Mus musculus: one gene and its partners. The protein of the gene in region 1 interacts with the protein of each later gene in a biochemical or structural test. Links are inferred from orthologs where the notes say so. Each region holds a gene or a part of one and is shown in the gene's direction. Other genes may lie near its edges.

Region 1 (5,660 bases):
GGGGGGGGGGGATTCTAGCGTTTCTTGAGATGGGGTGGGGGTGGGAATTGTAGGGGGATTGCCAGGAAGCAGCTTACTTGCCCCTGGTTAGAATAGATGACAGGGAGAAGGGAGCGGAGGGCGACACATGTATGAAGTACCAGAAGGAAGGGAGGAGATTTTTGCATGCTGGGGAAGTGGGAAAGTAGATACAAGGCTCACCGGAAATGAAATGATATGTGCCAGGTAAGAGAACACGGTGGGCAACCTGGGTAGGTAATGAGACATTAGGCTACAGTAGCGAGAACAGTGAGTAGCGGAGGGGTGGGGGGGCAGGGCACTTAGAAAAAAAGGACACAAGGAGGGCTGTTGGGGGGAGGGAGAGGAGTAGAGACATACAGTATTTTTAAAGAAAACTATTTTTTAGGATTTTTTCTGGAGTTTGGGGTTTTAGTTTTTGTTTTCCATAAAAATAAACAAAAAAAACAAACAAAAACATTTTTTCTTTATATTCTGGCAATTGCATGTGTGTGACTACCCACCATAGATTCTCCCAGCGCTAACAATTGTAGTCCCATGCCAAAAGGAGCCTCAAGCAGAGACTCGGAACACGCCCTAAACACTTAGGCAGAAACCTTATCACACAGTGATTGGCAACCCTGGTGCTGGCATAAACCATGCGGGGTTTGGTGGCAGTGCAAGCCATGGGCCACAGGTGACCAGTGAACCCACAGAGATGGCAAAAGGGCATCTGTTGCATATTTTTGCTCAAGTTTTAAGGAAAGTTGAAATACCAGCTAAACTTATAGTTGATTACCTAGAAGACTACAATTCCCAGAAAGCTCTGAAAAGTTTTTAATCCAAAGAGGACTACAGTTCCCATAAGATGCCGAATTGGCCTTGGGCCCAGTAACATAAGTACCTGTCTGTCCAATATTGTGTGAGCAACCATACAGGCATTTTCAAGCTTTGGCTAGGACTTAATGCCTGGAGGGGGATGGTGCCCTCGATAGTGTTCAGGGTTGTATACTTGCTGTGTCTACCATCATACTTAAGCTGTCTGCTGGACCATGACCCCCCCCCTCCATGGAGAAGTATTTGGGCAGAAATAGTTACTGTCAATAGATTGAGGTCTCCGCTGCATTCAGTTGACATATCTAGTGCAACCGAAGACACTTCCCCCAGATTTCCAAAAGCACACTGACCCAGAAGTAAAGGTGTCTTCCGTGAGTCTCTGTCGCCCCTTCTTGTGCACTAAAGTTCAAAACTGATATAGTCCCAGCCTTCTATCTGGCGGCTCAGAACGGGAAAGGCACACGCGGCAGCTGCAAAGGCTCAGGCTACACGTGTTCCCAAAACCGGGCGGGGACAGGGAAGCCACAGCCCAGTCGAGCCTCACCCTTGCTCCCGGCGGAGCCCAGGCTAGGAGCGAACGCCCTCTCCCCTACAGGCCCCAGTTCTGGACCTCCAGGGCCATTCTGGGGGGCAAAAATGGCCAAGAGGCCCGCAGCGGCTCCTTTAAGGCGTCTTCTCGCCCTCCCTCCTTGTCCACGTGACCCGGGGCGGCCGCGCGCCGGCTCGGCCCCCCGCGCAAGCGGCGATGGCGGCGGCGGCGGGAGCTGCTGCGGCGGCGGCCGCCGAGGTGCGGAAGGGGAGGGGGAGAGGCGGGTGCATGCCCGCGCGCGCGCCCGGGGGAAGCGCGCGCTCGTGCAATGCTCCGGGGGTGCAACGGGGCCGGGGGGCCCGAGCCGAACTTACAGCAAACCAGGGGGCCAACACCGGGGGCGGATGAGGGGACCAGGGGGTGGGAGGTGGGGGGAGTGGGCGCCGAGTCGCACGTGCCGCCGCCCGCTGCCCCTGCGTGGGCGGTGGGCACCGCGACCCCGGGAGCCCGCGCGAGGGGCGCGAGGGGCCGTCCGCCGGGCTGGGGCGCAGCGGGCGTTGCAGGGGTTGGTGGCCGGGGTCCCCGCGGCCTGGGGGACAAAGGGGGAGCGGCGCGTGCAGCCGGGAGGAGGGGGCGGGGCCGGGGCGCGGAGGCCCCGCCCCCTCCCCCTCCTCTGCTCCCGGCCCCAGAGATGCGGGGTCTGCCGAGAGGGAGGGGGCTGATGCGGGCCCGGGGGCGGGGGCGTGCGGCCCCCACGGGCGGCCGCGGCCGCGGTCGGGGGGGCGCCCACCGAGGGCGAGGTAGGCCCCGAAGCCTGCTCTCGCTGCCCAGGGCCCAGGCGTCTTGGGCCCCCCAGCTGCCTGCCGGGCTGACCGGCCCCCCGGTTCCTTGTCTCCCCTCCCAGGGGGAGGCCCCCGCTGAGATGGGGGCGCTGCTGCTGGAGAAGGAGCCCCGAGGAGCCGCCGAGAGAGGTGAGTGCAGCAGGAGCAGGCCCGACCGGACCTCCACCCTCCCCACCCCCAACACGGGATCCCGGGAGCTTTCAGCCCTGAACTTTTTCTTTTCCCCTCCCGACAGTTCATAGCTCTTTGGGGGACACCCCTCAGAGTGAGGAGACCCTTCCCAAGGCCAACCCCGACTCCTTGGAGCCTGCCGGCCCCTCCTCTCCGGCCTCTGTCACTGTCACCGTCGGCGATGAGGGGGCTGACACCCCTGTCGGGGCCGCATCACTCATCGGGGACGAACCCGAGAGCCTGGAGGGAGATGGGGGTCGCATCGTGCTGGGTGAGAGACTGGGGAGTGAGGGAGACGGGGCGCAGAGGGGCTTTCTGCATGCCTGCTCACCCTGCACCCCCTTTCTGCCTGCCTCTTTTCTAGGCCATGCCACAAAGTCGTTCCCCTCTTCCCCCAGCAAGGGGGGTGCCTGTCCCAGTCGGGCCAAAATGTCAATGACAGGGGCAGGAAAGTCGCCCCCCTCGGTCCAGAGTTTGGCCATGAGGCTGTTGAGCATGCCCGGGGCCCAGGGAGCTGCAACTGCTGGGCCTGAACCCTCTCCGGCAACAACTGCCGCCCAGGAGGGGCAGCCCAAAGTGCACCGAGCCCGGAAAACCATGTCCAAACCTAGCAACGGACAGGTGAGAGTGTGGAAGTTGGGGTGGAGAGACTTGGGGAGTCTCTGGGTCGGATTTTTTGTTTTGTTTTGTTTTTGTTGGTGGTTTGTTCTTTTGGGTTTTTTTTTTTTTTTTTTTCCTTCTTCCGGGATTTAGCCTTAGACCTCTTGTATTCAGATTTTTTTTTTCGAATTTACCAATAGGCTACCAAGTGTCAGCTGTTGGGCTGGGCCTCTGTGAGCAGAGTAATTGTCGGCTTCCTGGAGTTTGTGTTCTTTGGGGAGGGGTGGTCAGCAGAGGAGACTGACAGATGTAGAATTAATTATATAGTTATTGTCCTAATTACACAAATGACTGGGCAGGATCAGCCTTCCCAAGTTTGTGTTTTTTTTGTTTTGTTTTTTGCCTCTGAACAAATGCTTAGGGAGGTTGGTTTGTTCGTTTGTTTGTTTGTTTGTTTGTTTGTTTTTCAAATCCCTACTTTGAGACCAGTCTCAAACCAGATAAAGTTTTTACTGGGAACTCTTCCCTGGGAAGGCCACATAATGACAGAATGTGGGCGGAGGCGTGTGTGTGTGTGTGTGTGTGTGTGTGTGTGACAAGAACCTGGAAATCAAAATTATGTCAAGGTTTTAAGGGCTCTTGATTCAGCTTAAGTATGGCTTGTGTAGCCTTCCTCTGGGTCTTGTTTCGTTTATTTTGTTGTTTGTTTTGAGCTTTATTTTGTTTTGAGAGAGTAGTTTTTGTTTTTTGTTGTTTTGTGTGTGTGTGTGTGTGTAACAGGGTCTCACTGTGTAGCCCTGGCTGGCTGGCTGTGTAGACCAGGCTGGCCTTTAACTCACAGAGATCTACCTTTTTCTGTCTCCTACATCCTGGGGCTGAAGGTGTACACACATGCCTTTTATTTATAATCTTTTTTTTAAAAAAGATTTATTTATTTATTTTATGTATATGAATATACTGTAACTGTCTTCAGACACACCAGAAGAGGGAATCAGATCCCATTACAGATGGTTGTGAGCCACACCATGTGGTTGCTGGGATTTGAACTCAAGACCTCTGGAAGAGCAGTCAGTGCTCTTAACTGCTGAGCCATATCTCTGGCCCTTGTTTTATTTCCTCTTTTTGAGATGGTCTCATGTAGACTGAACTTGCTATGATCCACCCCACCCAGCTTCTACATTTAATTTTTTTCTTTCTTTTTTTTTTTCTTTACTCTTTCTTTTTTTAAAAACTTTTAAGCTTCTGGGTGTTTTACCTGCACATATGTCTGTGTACCACCTTGTGTGTCTGGTGCCCTTCAAGTCAAGGGGGCAGTAGACCTTGAGTTTGAAGGGGTTGTGAGCATCTTGTCAGTGCTGGGCAATTGGACCTGGGTCTTCCACAAGAGCAGCAACCGGCTCTTAACCACTGCACTACCTCTCCGACAATGCTTGTTTTCTTTTTCTGGGAAAGTGATTACCTCACCATGGTGTGGCTGTTCTTCTCTGGTACAGAAGTTCGTGTTTGCTCGGGCTCCTCATATAAAATTATGAGAGCCAGGTGGATCTCTTAAGGTCTGGGTCAGCTAAGAATCAACATTTGCATATGCCTTACACGTATCTGTCTTCCTTGTAGATACCTTATAGATGATTAGCTAATGCCTGTATTAGTAGTTTAAAGACTCCTATATGGGCACAACTTTTAAAATTTTATCTGTTGCTGGGTGGTGCTGGCTCACGCCTCTAATCCCAGTTCTTGGGAGACTGAGGCAGGCAGATCTCTGAGTTCAAGGCCAGCCTAGTTAGAGTATACACAATTCCTTAGACAGCCAAGTCTATATAGTGAGTTCCAGGGCAGCCAAGGCTACACAGGGAAATCCTGTCTTGAAAGAAAAATATTGATTATAAGTGTGTATGTGTAATGGGGGAGGTTGAGGGGATGGACGCAGTAGAGGACATATCTGTGGAGCCTGGTCTCTTCCACCTTTTCATGCCATCTAGGAGTCAGACTCAAGTTTTAGGGTTTGCGCAGCAAGCACCCCTGCCCACTGAGCCATCTTGCTGGCCACTGTTCTCTTTTTAATTTTTTTTTTTTTTTTTTTTTTGGTTTTTCGAGACAGGGTTTCTCTGTATAGTCCTGGCTGTCCTGGAACTCACTCTGTAGACCAGGCTGGCCTCGAACTCAGAAATCCGCCTATCTCTGCCTCCCAAGTGCTGGGATTAAAGGCGTGCACCACCACGCCCGGCTTTCGGGTAGCATTTTTTTAAAAACTCATTTCTTTTTTTTTTTTTTTTTAAGATTTATGGGAGTTCCCTGTCGCTGTCTTCAGACACACCAGAAGAGGGCATCAGATCTCATTACACATGGTCGTGAGCCACCATGTAGTTGCTGGGATTTGAACTCAGGACCTCTGGAAGAGCAGTCAGTGCTCTTAACCCTGAGCCATCCCTCCAGCCCTTCGGATAGCTTTGTTTGTTTGTTTTTTTTTTGTTTGTTTGTTTTTTAATGTATGTGAATACACTGTACAGATGGTTGTGAGCCTTCATGTGGTTGTTGGGAATCGAACTCTTAGGACCTCTGCTCCCTCTGGTCAACCCTACTCACTTCAGTCAGCCCCACTAGCTCTGGCCCAAAGCTTTACTTACTTTTATATGTAAGTACACTGTAGCTGTCTTCAGACGAACCAGAAGAAGGCATCAGATCCC
Region 2 (5,295 bases), on another chromosome or scaffold:
ACACACAAGGTACACAGACAACATATAGGTAAAATAATTAAACACATAAATAATTTTAAGATAATAGTTTCCAAGTACTAGTAATTAAAGAACATGAACTACTCTTGTAGCACTTATGTGGGTACTCAGAATTGTCTAACTCTACCTTCGGTTGGGGGAGGGGGGCTGGTTAAGTGCCCTTTCTGGTGTCCAAAAGCACCAGTACTTACAGGTGCTCAGAAAAGTACACATGGTTTTAAAAAAATAAATAGCAATACCAAAAGAAAAACCTAAACAAAATAATAGTTTATACAAATACAAGCATGCATATAAATAAAACCTATTGGGTATAGACCATGTAATGGAAAGGAGGAGTCTCTTCAATGCCTAGTTTAAGGAAGACAGGGTTAGGCATGATGGTTCATACCTATAATCCTAGCACTTGAGGGACTGAGGTAAGAGAAATGTGTTGAGACTTTGAAGCTAGCTCAGGTTTCAGAGAACTTGTCTCCAAAATAAAGCGATTATGGTTTTGAGACAGTCTCATATAGCCCAGGCTAGCCTTTAACTTCTGATCTTCCAACCTCCATCTACCAAGTACTGGATCAATAATGATTTGTTTTGTTTTTGAGGCAGGGTCTCTACATAACCCTGGCTGTCCTAGAACTCAAACTCAGAGATCCATCTGTCTCTGCCTCCAGGGTGCTGGGATTAAAGGCTTACATCACCATGCCCAGCAATAATGATTAGTAGTACGTTAAAAATGTTAACGGGGTAGGGTCTGAGTGTATGTATGTATATATACACACAGCTGCCTCAGAAGTCAGAGGAGGGAGCTGTCCCCTGACACTGGAGTTAGAGGTGGTTGTCAGCCATCATGTGGATGCTGAGAACTTAACAAAGTTCTCTACAAGGCAATTGCTCTAACCACAGAGCCATCTCTAGCCCCTTGTGGGCTTTTTATGTGTATATTTTTAAGACACAGTCTTGCTGTGTAGCCCAAGGTGCACTTAAACTTACAGTATTCCTGAGAACTGAAATTACAGTCTTGTGCTGCTATAAGTAGCTGCATATTTATTCACTTGCTTTTTTTTTTAATTGGTGGGTGGTTCTTGGTCAGATTTTACTAAATGGTCTAGGCTAGCCTTGAACCTCTAAAGGTTCTACCTTTAAAGTTCTAGGTTTATGGGCATTTAAATTTAATTTTCAAGAGTGCATAATTGCTCAGTGTGTTGTCTCATACTGTAGTTCTAATGGTCAATAAATTGAAGCAGGAGGGTTGAAATTTGGAGCTAATCTAGGCTATATAAAACTTTTATTTTATATTTTAAGAAAGGGTCTTGTCTAGCCCAGGCTTAATATTAATTCCTGCTGCTTCTGCCTCCAGCTACCAAGTGTTGGACCAAGCCCAGGATTTCTTGTATTTTAGACAAATACTCTACCAATAAAACTACGTTCCCGGTCCTAAGCATGTTTTCAAGTCAAACTGTGGTTCTTGTTCTAGTTGTTCCTGGGTTACTGTTGGGAGTTCTGATGAAAGTTGTATTTCATAAAGAATTTTTTATGCTATTTGTTGTGCAGAAATACTTAGTTAAGCTATTACCTAACCCTGTATACAGGCTGACAAACCAAGGGGCTTTGCCAGAGGTCTCGACCCTGAACGAATAATCGGCGCCACAGACAGCAGCGGAGAGTTAATGTTTCTCATGAAGTGGTGAGTGTGCGGCCAGTTGTTTTGTTGGGTTTGCTTTTTATTTTATTTTGGGCTTTTATTGTTGTTTGTTTTGTTTTTGGTTGTTTGGAGTTTTTTTTGTGTGTTTTTACCTTGTACTGTGTGTGTATATATGCATGATGGCAAGGGGAGTGTGTATATCAACGGTGTACGTTAGAGGACAGCTTTATGGAGTCCCAGTCTCTATCTCTGGATGTGGATTCCTGAGTTCAAACTTCAGGTGCCTGGCTTGTGTGCCATGCATCATTAACTGCCAAGCCTTCTTACTGGCTTTCATTAAACATAAAAGAATAGATAGGTTAGGGGTGTGTGTGTGTGTGTGTATTTTGGGGTAAGTAGGAATTGGCAGAGGTTAAACAGGGTCTCACTGTGTAGCCACCAGTGCCCCCCGCCCCAGTATGAGGGTTAGAGGCTAATTCTGTGAAGTTATATGAAAGGTTTCTTAGGATGGAATGTAATTAGCCAAGCTAGTGACTCATTCTTGTTTTGAGAAAAGAAGTTTATTGAAGTGTAACCTCAACCACCATCCAACCCTCTCGAGTAGCATTTAACATTGATTTGGATCTGACTATCATGTATTGAATGGATCTGAGTTAACTTACAGAATTTAAATGCTTAACCAGTTTATTTTCCCTCACAACAGGAAGGACTCGGACGAGGCCGACTTGGTGCTGGCAAAGGAGGCGAACATGAAGTGTCCTCAGATTGTCATTGCCTTCTACGAGGAGCGGCTGACTTGGCATTCTTGTCCTGAAGATGAAGCACAATAATTGTTTGCATTTATATATATATATTTATATATATATATAAAATCTGGATCTTGGGTTTTGAATTACTAGTGTGGAAAAAAATAGCATTCTAATGAAAATCAAGTTTGATATGCTGGTTTTGAAAGTATTGACAGTAGTTGGGATATTTTTGGTTTTTGTTCTGCATCAAAAGGCACTGATTCCTTTGAGCAAGTAAGAGCTTTCTGTAGTTGCTTCCTTTAACAATAGAATATTTGATACCATGTTGTATTTCCTCAGCTTTGAAGAACAGCTTTTCTTAAACGCTGGGGAGATTTTACAGTTATTACTCAAGTCAGAACTTATTTTTAACTGGGACACAGAAGGACCATTCTGGGTTTTTTTTTGTTTTTTTTTTTTTTTTTTTTTTGTTTCTATGTGGTGTATGCATAAAACACATAACTTGTTTGTTTTGTTTTGTTTTTAACTGAAGATGAAAATACAAGTTGATGAGATTCCCTCCTTGTGAACATTTTCCTGAAACCATAACCTTTCAGATTAAGCAGATTCTGTGATTTATTGGCTAGTTTAAAGGCAACAACATCAGAATTGATGTATTATCACATAAATACAGTGGTATATTTACAGAGTGTTGTACATGTCCCCTTTGGAAAATGGAATTAGACTAAGTAATAGTGTGATTTAATAACAAGACTTGGGCTAGAGGCAGATAGAGCTCTGACCTAAGAGGCCAGCTGAGAGGCAGAGGCAGGTCCAGGTCAGCCAGTCTATGTAAAGGTTCCTCTGGTGAACTTTGTAGAAAGTTAAAGTCTGTACTAAAAGGTTATGATTTATGGAATCTGTTTGATGTGGAAATAGAATCGTGGCTGGAGCTGACGTTGGCAATTTAAGACCTGCTAAGTGAGTGAACAAAATTTGCTAATATCAATTAATGACCTGCATGCTTTTTCTTTACCCTGACTCATTCCTTACTGGTAGGATCAGTCTTTTCAGTATTTGGGTTATGGTTCAATGAGCCAGAAAAGTAACTTTGTAGTATCAGAATGTCATCCAACTGTATATTTACTTTATTGTAAATAATGGTGAACAGTGGTCAATAAATAGTTTTATATTCCTTTATGTGATGACTTTTTTTTGTCATTGTCTGGTTTACTTTGTAATAAGGGCTGGAAACATCTACACAGTTTATCCTTTATTTGTTTTTGAGTCAGGGCCTCTTTGTATTGATGCTCTCCTTGAACAGTCATACTCTCTCAGCTTCCCAAGTGCTAGGAAACCTCACATCAAGTTAGGCTTAACTTGTGTGTTCTTGCTTCTACCTTATGAGGACTGGAACCACAGGCATATATCATGGCACATCATATTTACACACACATTTACTCACTGTCAGTATGGGCTGGGTAGTCCCAACAGTGACTATCCTTGCAGTAGAGGCTTCATAAAGCTGGAGCCATCCTGGCCTGGTGCTGAAGACGTTAAGAGGCCCAAGAAGCTTAGAGTGTGAGGGAGCAGCTTGGACAGGCTGACGAAGCCGGAAGCAAGGTTGGCAGGCAATACTTCATTTTCTTTGAATCTTCCTTTTTTTTTTTTTAAGTTTTTTGAGACAGGGTTTCTCTGTGTAGCCCTGGCTGTCCTGGAACTCATTTTGTAGACCAGGCTGGCCTCAAACTCAGAAATCCGCCTGCCTCTGCCTCCCAAGTGCTGGGATTAAAGGCGTGCGCCACCACACCCAGCTGGTTGAATCTTCTTAATGAAGATTTTGCTTTTAATTACAGGGGCTGTGAATGCCAGTACCTTATGGCTGGGGGACAGCTCTGGTATCTGGAGTTACAGGCAGTTGTGAGCCACTAGAGTGGATGCTTAGGACTGAACTCAGGCTGTCTGGAGAAACAAAGAGTTTCTCACTGCTGATCCATCTCTCCAGCCCACCTTGGACCTGTTTATATCAGGGTCACTTTTTTTTTTAAAGATTTATTATAGCCTGGAGGTGGTGGCGCACGCCTTTATTCCCAGCACTTGCAAGGCAGAGGCAGGTGAATTTCTTAGTTCGAGGCCAGCCTGGTCTACAAAGTGAGTTCCAGGACAGCCAGAGCTATACAGAGAAACCCTGTCTCGAAAAAAAAAAAAGCCGGGCATGGTGGCACATGCCTTTAATCCCAGTACCCGGGAGGCAGAGGCTGGCGGATTTCTGAGTTCAAGGTTAGCCTGATCTACAAAGTGAGTTCCAGGACAGCCAGGGCTATACAGAGAAACCCTGTCTACAAAAACCAAAAATGATTGATTTTTTTATTATTATATCTCAGGACACTGTAGCTGTCTTCTGATGCACCAGAAGAGGGCGTCAGATCTCATTACAGATGGTTGGGAGCCACCATGTGGTTGCTGGGATTTGAACTCAGGATCTTCAGAAGAGCAATCAGTGCCCTTAATCATTGAGCCATCTCTCCAGCCCCCCCCCTTTTTTTTTAAGATTTAAGGGGAGTGGGTTTTAGTGACCATTTTTTTTTTCTATTTCTGACATCTCAGCTTTTACTTGTCTCAAATATATCACACTCAATCTCAGCCAGAAAAGGCTAAGAGAAGACATTTAATTTTTCTGTGACTAAAAAGAAAAAGGCTCGCTAGGAGTGGTGGCGCACGCCTTTAATCCCAGCACTTGGGAGGCAGAGGCAGGCGGATTTCTGAGTTCTAGGTCAGCCTGGTCTATAGAGTGAGTTCCAGGACAGCCAGGGCTACACAGAGAAACCCTGTCTCAAAAAAGCAAAAAAGAAAAAAGGCTCATTTAATACAACAGGCATTATTGGGGGTAGTTGTATGTGTGTATGCCATTTATGG
Region 3 (4,221 bases), on another chromosome or scaffold:
TAGCCTTGGCTGTCCTGGAACTCACTTTGTAGATCAGGCTGGCATCAAACTCAGAAATCCAAATGCCTCTGCCTCACAAGTGCTGGGATTCAAGACGTGCGCCACCACGCCCGGCTTTGATGTGGATTCTTAAAAGAGAAGCTTATCAGCTTATTCTGAGGTTCTTTGTGACTCTAAACCCTTGTTCATGGTCAGGTTGTGGAGGTTTGTGGTGGTGCCTTGTCACGTTCTATCATGTATCTGTTTAACTGCCCCATGCTGCTGCCTCTGTCTGGGCTAGGCCCAATGTGCTGAAGATAAATGGATAGAATTTACTCATAGTTAACTTCCTATGTGTATATCATTTTCAGATTTTAATCTTGTCTAGCTTCTGCAATTCTTTGGTTTGGTTTGGTTAGGGTTTTTTTTTGTTGTTGGTTTTGTTTTGTTTTTGTTTTTTTTTGAGACAGCGTTTCTCTGTGTAGCCCTGGCTATCCTGGAATTCACTCTGTAGACCAGGCTGGCCTCAAACGCAGAAATCCGCCTGCCTCTGCCTCCCAAGTGCTGGGATTAAAGGTGTGCACCTCCACGCCAGGTTAGCTTCTGAAATTCTAATTAAGCTTTTTTTGGCCCTTTTCAAAGAAGTAGTTGAGTCAGATGACCTACCTTTTGAAGTTTCTTAGAGGACTTTTGTTTGTTTTTGTTCTTTTTTTCAGTTTTTGAGACCGGGTTTCTCTGTATAACTCTGGCTGTTCTGGAATTCACTTTGTAGACCAGCTGGCCTTGAACTCACAGAGACCTGCCCTTAGAGGGGATTTTTAACAGAGGAATATCTTTGAGGGGATCGTGTGACAACACTTGCCCAGTAAATGCTTGCATCCTCTTTCCTAGTTTGTTTCTGGAATTTAGACTTTAAAAGCCCCATTCCCTGGGTGGTCCAAAACGGGACCACAACGGCTGATCTCAAAGTCTCTTTGTGCTTTGTTCTACAGGAAAAACTCTGATGAGGCTGACCTGGTCCCTGCCAAGGAAGCCAATGTCAAGTGCCCACAGGTTGTCATATCCTTCTATGAGGAAAGGCTAACGTGGCATTCCTACCCCTCAGAGGATGATGACAAAAAAGACGACAAGAATTAGCCCTGTTGAGTACCAGCCCCTGTCACCTCTGACTGTGGGTTTCAAGGGGGAGGGAAGGAGTTATACTTGTCTTGACACCATAGAGGTGGCTTGAGAAGATGTCCTTTGAAGAGCCAGCATAGTTTGTGTGTCCTGCAGCTGCCCAAGTGCTTTAAATTGTTCAAGCTGTGTAGTTTGCACACCCATCCCAGTGGAGGGGAAAGGGTAAGTGTTTCAAGGCAACCTGTTCTGCGCTTTGCTAAGGAAGCAGTTGGCCTTCCATGAAGGACAAAACCTGCAGAACTGGGGTGTGGGAAAGCAAAGATACTGTCGATCTTCAAAGAGCATCTCCACAACCCACAGCCTTCTTCCCGATAGTGTTAACTGCATTTTTACAGCCTAGCATGTGTGTAGTTTTTGGCTATTACTGGTATATTAATTGGGGGTGGGAGGGTTGGGGCAGGGAGGAAGGGAGATGGGTAGAATCATTTTGGTTAAAATTTGGGGCCTGATTGGGGAAATGATGAAATAGTAGAACAGCTAACTAATAAATTGGTTCTGTGTCCAGAATATTTTGCCTTTTCAAAAAAAATGTCATTGGCACCATAAGTAAGGACTATGAGAGACTGTTAAAAAAAAAAAAAAAAAAAAAAAAAAGTCTGTTAATCCTAAAACCTACAGCCAAGGTGCTCCCAGCCTGAGCTCAAAGTGGCCCACAAAGGACAAAGCCAGTTCTGAGTTACCAAAGCTGCCATTTGATGATGGAAACTGACTGGAGAGGGAAAGGTTACAGGAGAGTATATAGAGGCAGACTACTCTGCCATAGAGGTGCTAATTCTTGAAATTGGAGAAAAAAAAAACTTTTTCCAATTACAAAGTTATATCAGTTTGTCCATCTAAGCCATTGGCTCAAGTATTGCAGGATGGCCTATGGGAGATGGAAGAGAAGGGCCTTTGCTCTTAGGGTAGAAACTCTTAGAGCCCCTCTCTCTCTTTCTTTTTTTTTTTTCTTTCTTTCTTTTCTATTTTTGTTTTTTTTTTAATTTTTTTTTTTTATTTTCAGCTTTGAACCCTGAAACTGCTTGTGGCAGGTTCAGTTACTGACAGCACAAATTCCATTGAGTCAATTCAAGGATTGAATGACTTCACAAGCCCTGGTCTCAGGAGATTAACTTTCATATTGGGGTAGTGGTTCACTTGAGAATACAAAATCTTCAGATTAACTGATGTCCAAAATACTGTCTTGAATCATGAGATCCATCAATTTTTAGTATTGTCTAGACCTACAAATAGAACTACATTGTAAAATCTTTTTCAGCATGTGTTAAGATGTATGTGAAAATTTCTGTTTAAGTTTAAAGTTCATACCATACTGTCAGTTTTTGTCTTAATAAAATTATAGATTTCTAATTCTTGATTTCTGTCTTTTTTTTTCCCCAACCAGGTCTTCTTCCCGTGTTGCCCAGTCTGGCCTAGAACTTTGAATCCTATGCCTCCACTGTTCAGTGCTGGAATTGCATGGTGTGTGTACCACTGCAGCAGGCATCTTCATCTTATCAGCAGCCCTCTTGCCTCAGCTCAGCTTCTCAAAAGTGCCTGCCACAGCTTCATGACTATAGATGGACACTGTAGGCTCAATCTTGTGCCCTAGTCTTTTAAATGGCCTCAGTTTATTAATATAGTAATATTTGAGCATTTATAATTGCTGAACATATAGTTAGGAACTGGCACATCATTCTATATTTCGTATTGCTGGGAAATTATTTACTGATAACACTTCCAAATATAGTTATTTGAAAACATGTTTTATGAAGTAGCTTAGTCAGTTGGATGGCATCAGCATATGTTGTCACCAAAAAGTTTGAGGAATTGGCATTATGTATTAAACACTCAGTTGGATGTTATCTGTCTTTTGGTGGGGGGGAGTTGAGACAGGGCTTCTCTGTATAGCCCTGGCTGTCTTGGAACTCACTTTGTAGACCAGGCTGGTCTCTAACTCAGAGATATACCTACCTCTGCCTCTAGACTGCTGGGACCATATAATTCAGGAGCCCACATAACATATTCCTTGATGCTATTTATTTTATTATCTTACTCTATGGTGTTTTGCCCATGGGTGTGTCTGTGTACCACTCAGTGTCTGTGCTCAGTGTCTGTGGAGGACAGAAGAGAGCATAGGATACCTTGGAACTGGAGTTAAAAGCTGTTCTAACCCAAATAAATATGGCTACCTAGGAATCAAACTAGGATCCTCTGCAAGAACAGCCAATATTCTTAACCACTGAGTCAACTCTGAAGCCCTTGTTGCTTTTGGTTTACATTAGTATGTACACAGGTGTTAAAGTCAGAGGACAACTTTGTGGAGTTGTGTTCTAGGAGCCACACTCAGATTGATTGCCGTGTTTCACATGCTAAGCCATCTAACCCAGGCTAGCCTGAATCCTACTGTGTAGCTTAGAATGACCTTAAACTCAAGGAAACTCTCTTGTCTTACTCTCCCCAAGTCTAAGGTTACAGACATGTGTCACAAGAGCAGTTTGATTCTAGTCTGTTTTTTTTGTTGTTGTTGTCGTGTTACAAAACAGTCTCCCTGTGTACCCCTGGCTGGCCTGGAACTGCCTGTGTAAACCAGGCTGGTCAGATAACTTGATCCGCCAGGTGGTGGTGGCTCGTGCCTTTAATTCCAGCACTTGGGAGGCAGAGGCAGGCGGATTTCTGAGTCCAAGGCCAGCCTGGTCTACAGAGTGAGTTCCAGGACAGCCAGGGCTACACAGAGAAACCCTGTCTCAAAAACAAAAACAAACAAAAAAAATAAAGGTAACTTGATCCTCCTGTCTGCCTCTGAGGTGCTAAGATTCACCATGCTTTTTTTCTTTTAAGATGTATTTATTTATATGAGTACACTGTAGCTGTCTTCAGACACAGCAGGAGAGAGCATCAGATCCTGTAACAGATGGTTGTGAGCCACCATGTGGTTGCTGAAAATTGGACTCCGGACCTCTGGAAGAGCAGTCGGTGCTCTGAGCCATCTCTCTAGCCCCCTCCCTTTTTTTGTGTGTGTGTGAGGAGAGATGACCGAGGACTTAATTCCCCTTGGAGCTGGCGTGACAGGTTGAGTTACCTGAG

Evidence for each region. The genes of interacting proteins can lie anywhere in the genome.
Region 2: the proteins of Ehmt2 (region 1) and Cbx3 are reported together in a solved structure, tested with the Homo sapiens proteins (2 studies listed by BioGRID, with this or other methods). The link is inferred for Mus musculus from reciprocal best matches to the Homo sapiens genes EHMT2 and CBX3.
Region 3: the proteins of Ehmt2 (region 1) and Cbx1 form a complex in vitro, tested with the Homo sapiens proteins (2 studies listed by BioGRID). The link is inferred for Mus musculus from reciprocal best matches to the Homo sapiens genes EHMT2 and CBX1.

What each region holds. Positions count from the first base shown.
Region 1 is NC_000083.6:34,896,920-34,902,579, forward strand, and holds the start of Ehmt2 (histone-lysine N-methyltransferase EHMT2), read left to right. Parts: upstream 1-2,050; 5' UTR 2,051-2,054; coding exon 2,055-2,334; intron 2,335-2,440; coding exon 2,441-2,647; intron 2,648-2,740; coding exon 2,741-2,997; intron 2,998-5,660. UniProt on the Homo sapiens protein: Histone methyltransferase that specifically mono- and dimethylates 'Lys-9' of histone H3 (H3K9me1 and H3K9me2, respectively) in euchromatin.
Region 2 is NC_000072.6:51,480,126-51,485,420, forward strand, and holds the end of Cbx3 (chromobox protein homolog 3), read left to right. Parts: intron 1-1,598; coding exon 1,599-1,693; coding exon of another isoform or gene 1,694-1,697; intron 1,698-2,354; coding exon 2,355-2,481; 3' UTR 2,482-3,579; downstream 3,580-5,295.
Region 3 is NC_000077.6:96,805,645-96,809,865, forward strand, and holds the end of Cbx1 (chromobox protein homolog 1), read left to right. Parts: intron 1-971; coding exon 972-1,116; 3' UTR 1,117-2,158; coding exon of another isoform or gene 2,159-2,171; 3' UTR 2,172-2,505; downstream 2,506-4,221. UniProt on the Homo sapiens protein: Component of heterochromatin. Recognizes and binds histone H3 tails methylated at 'Lys-9', leading to epigenetic repression. Interaction with lamin B receptor (LBR) can contribute to the association of the heterochromatin with the inner nuclear membrane.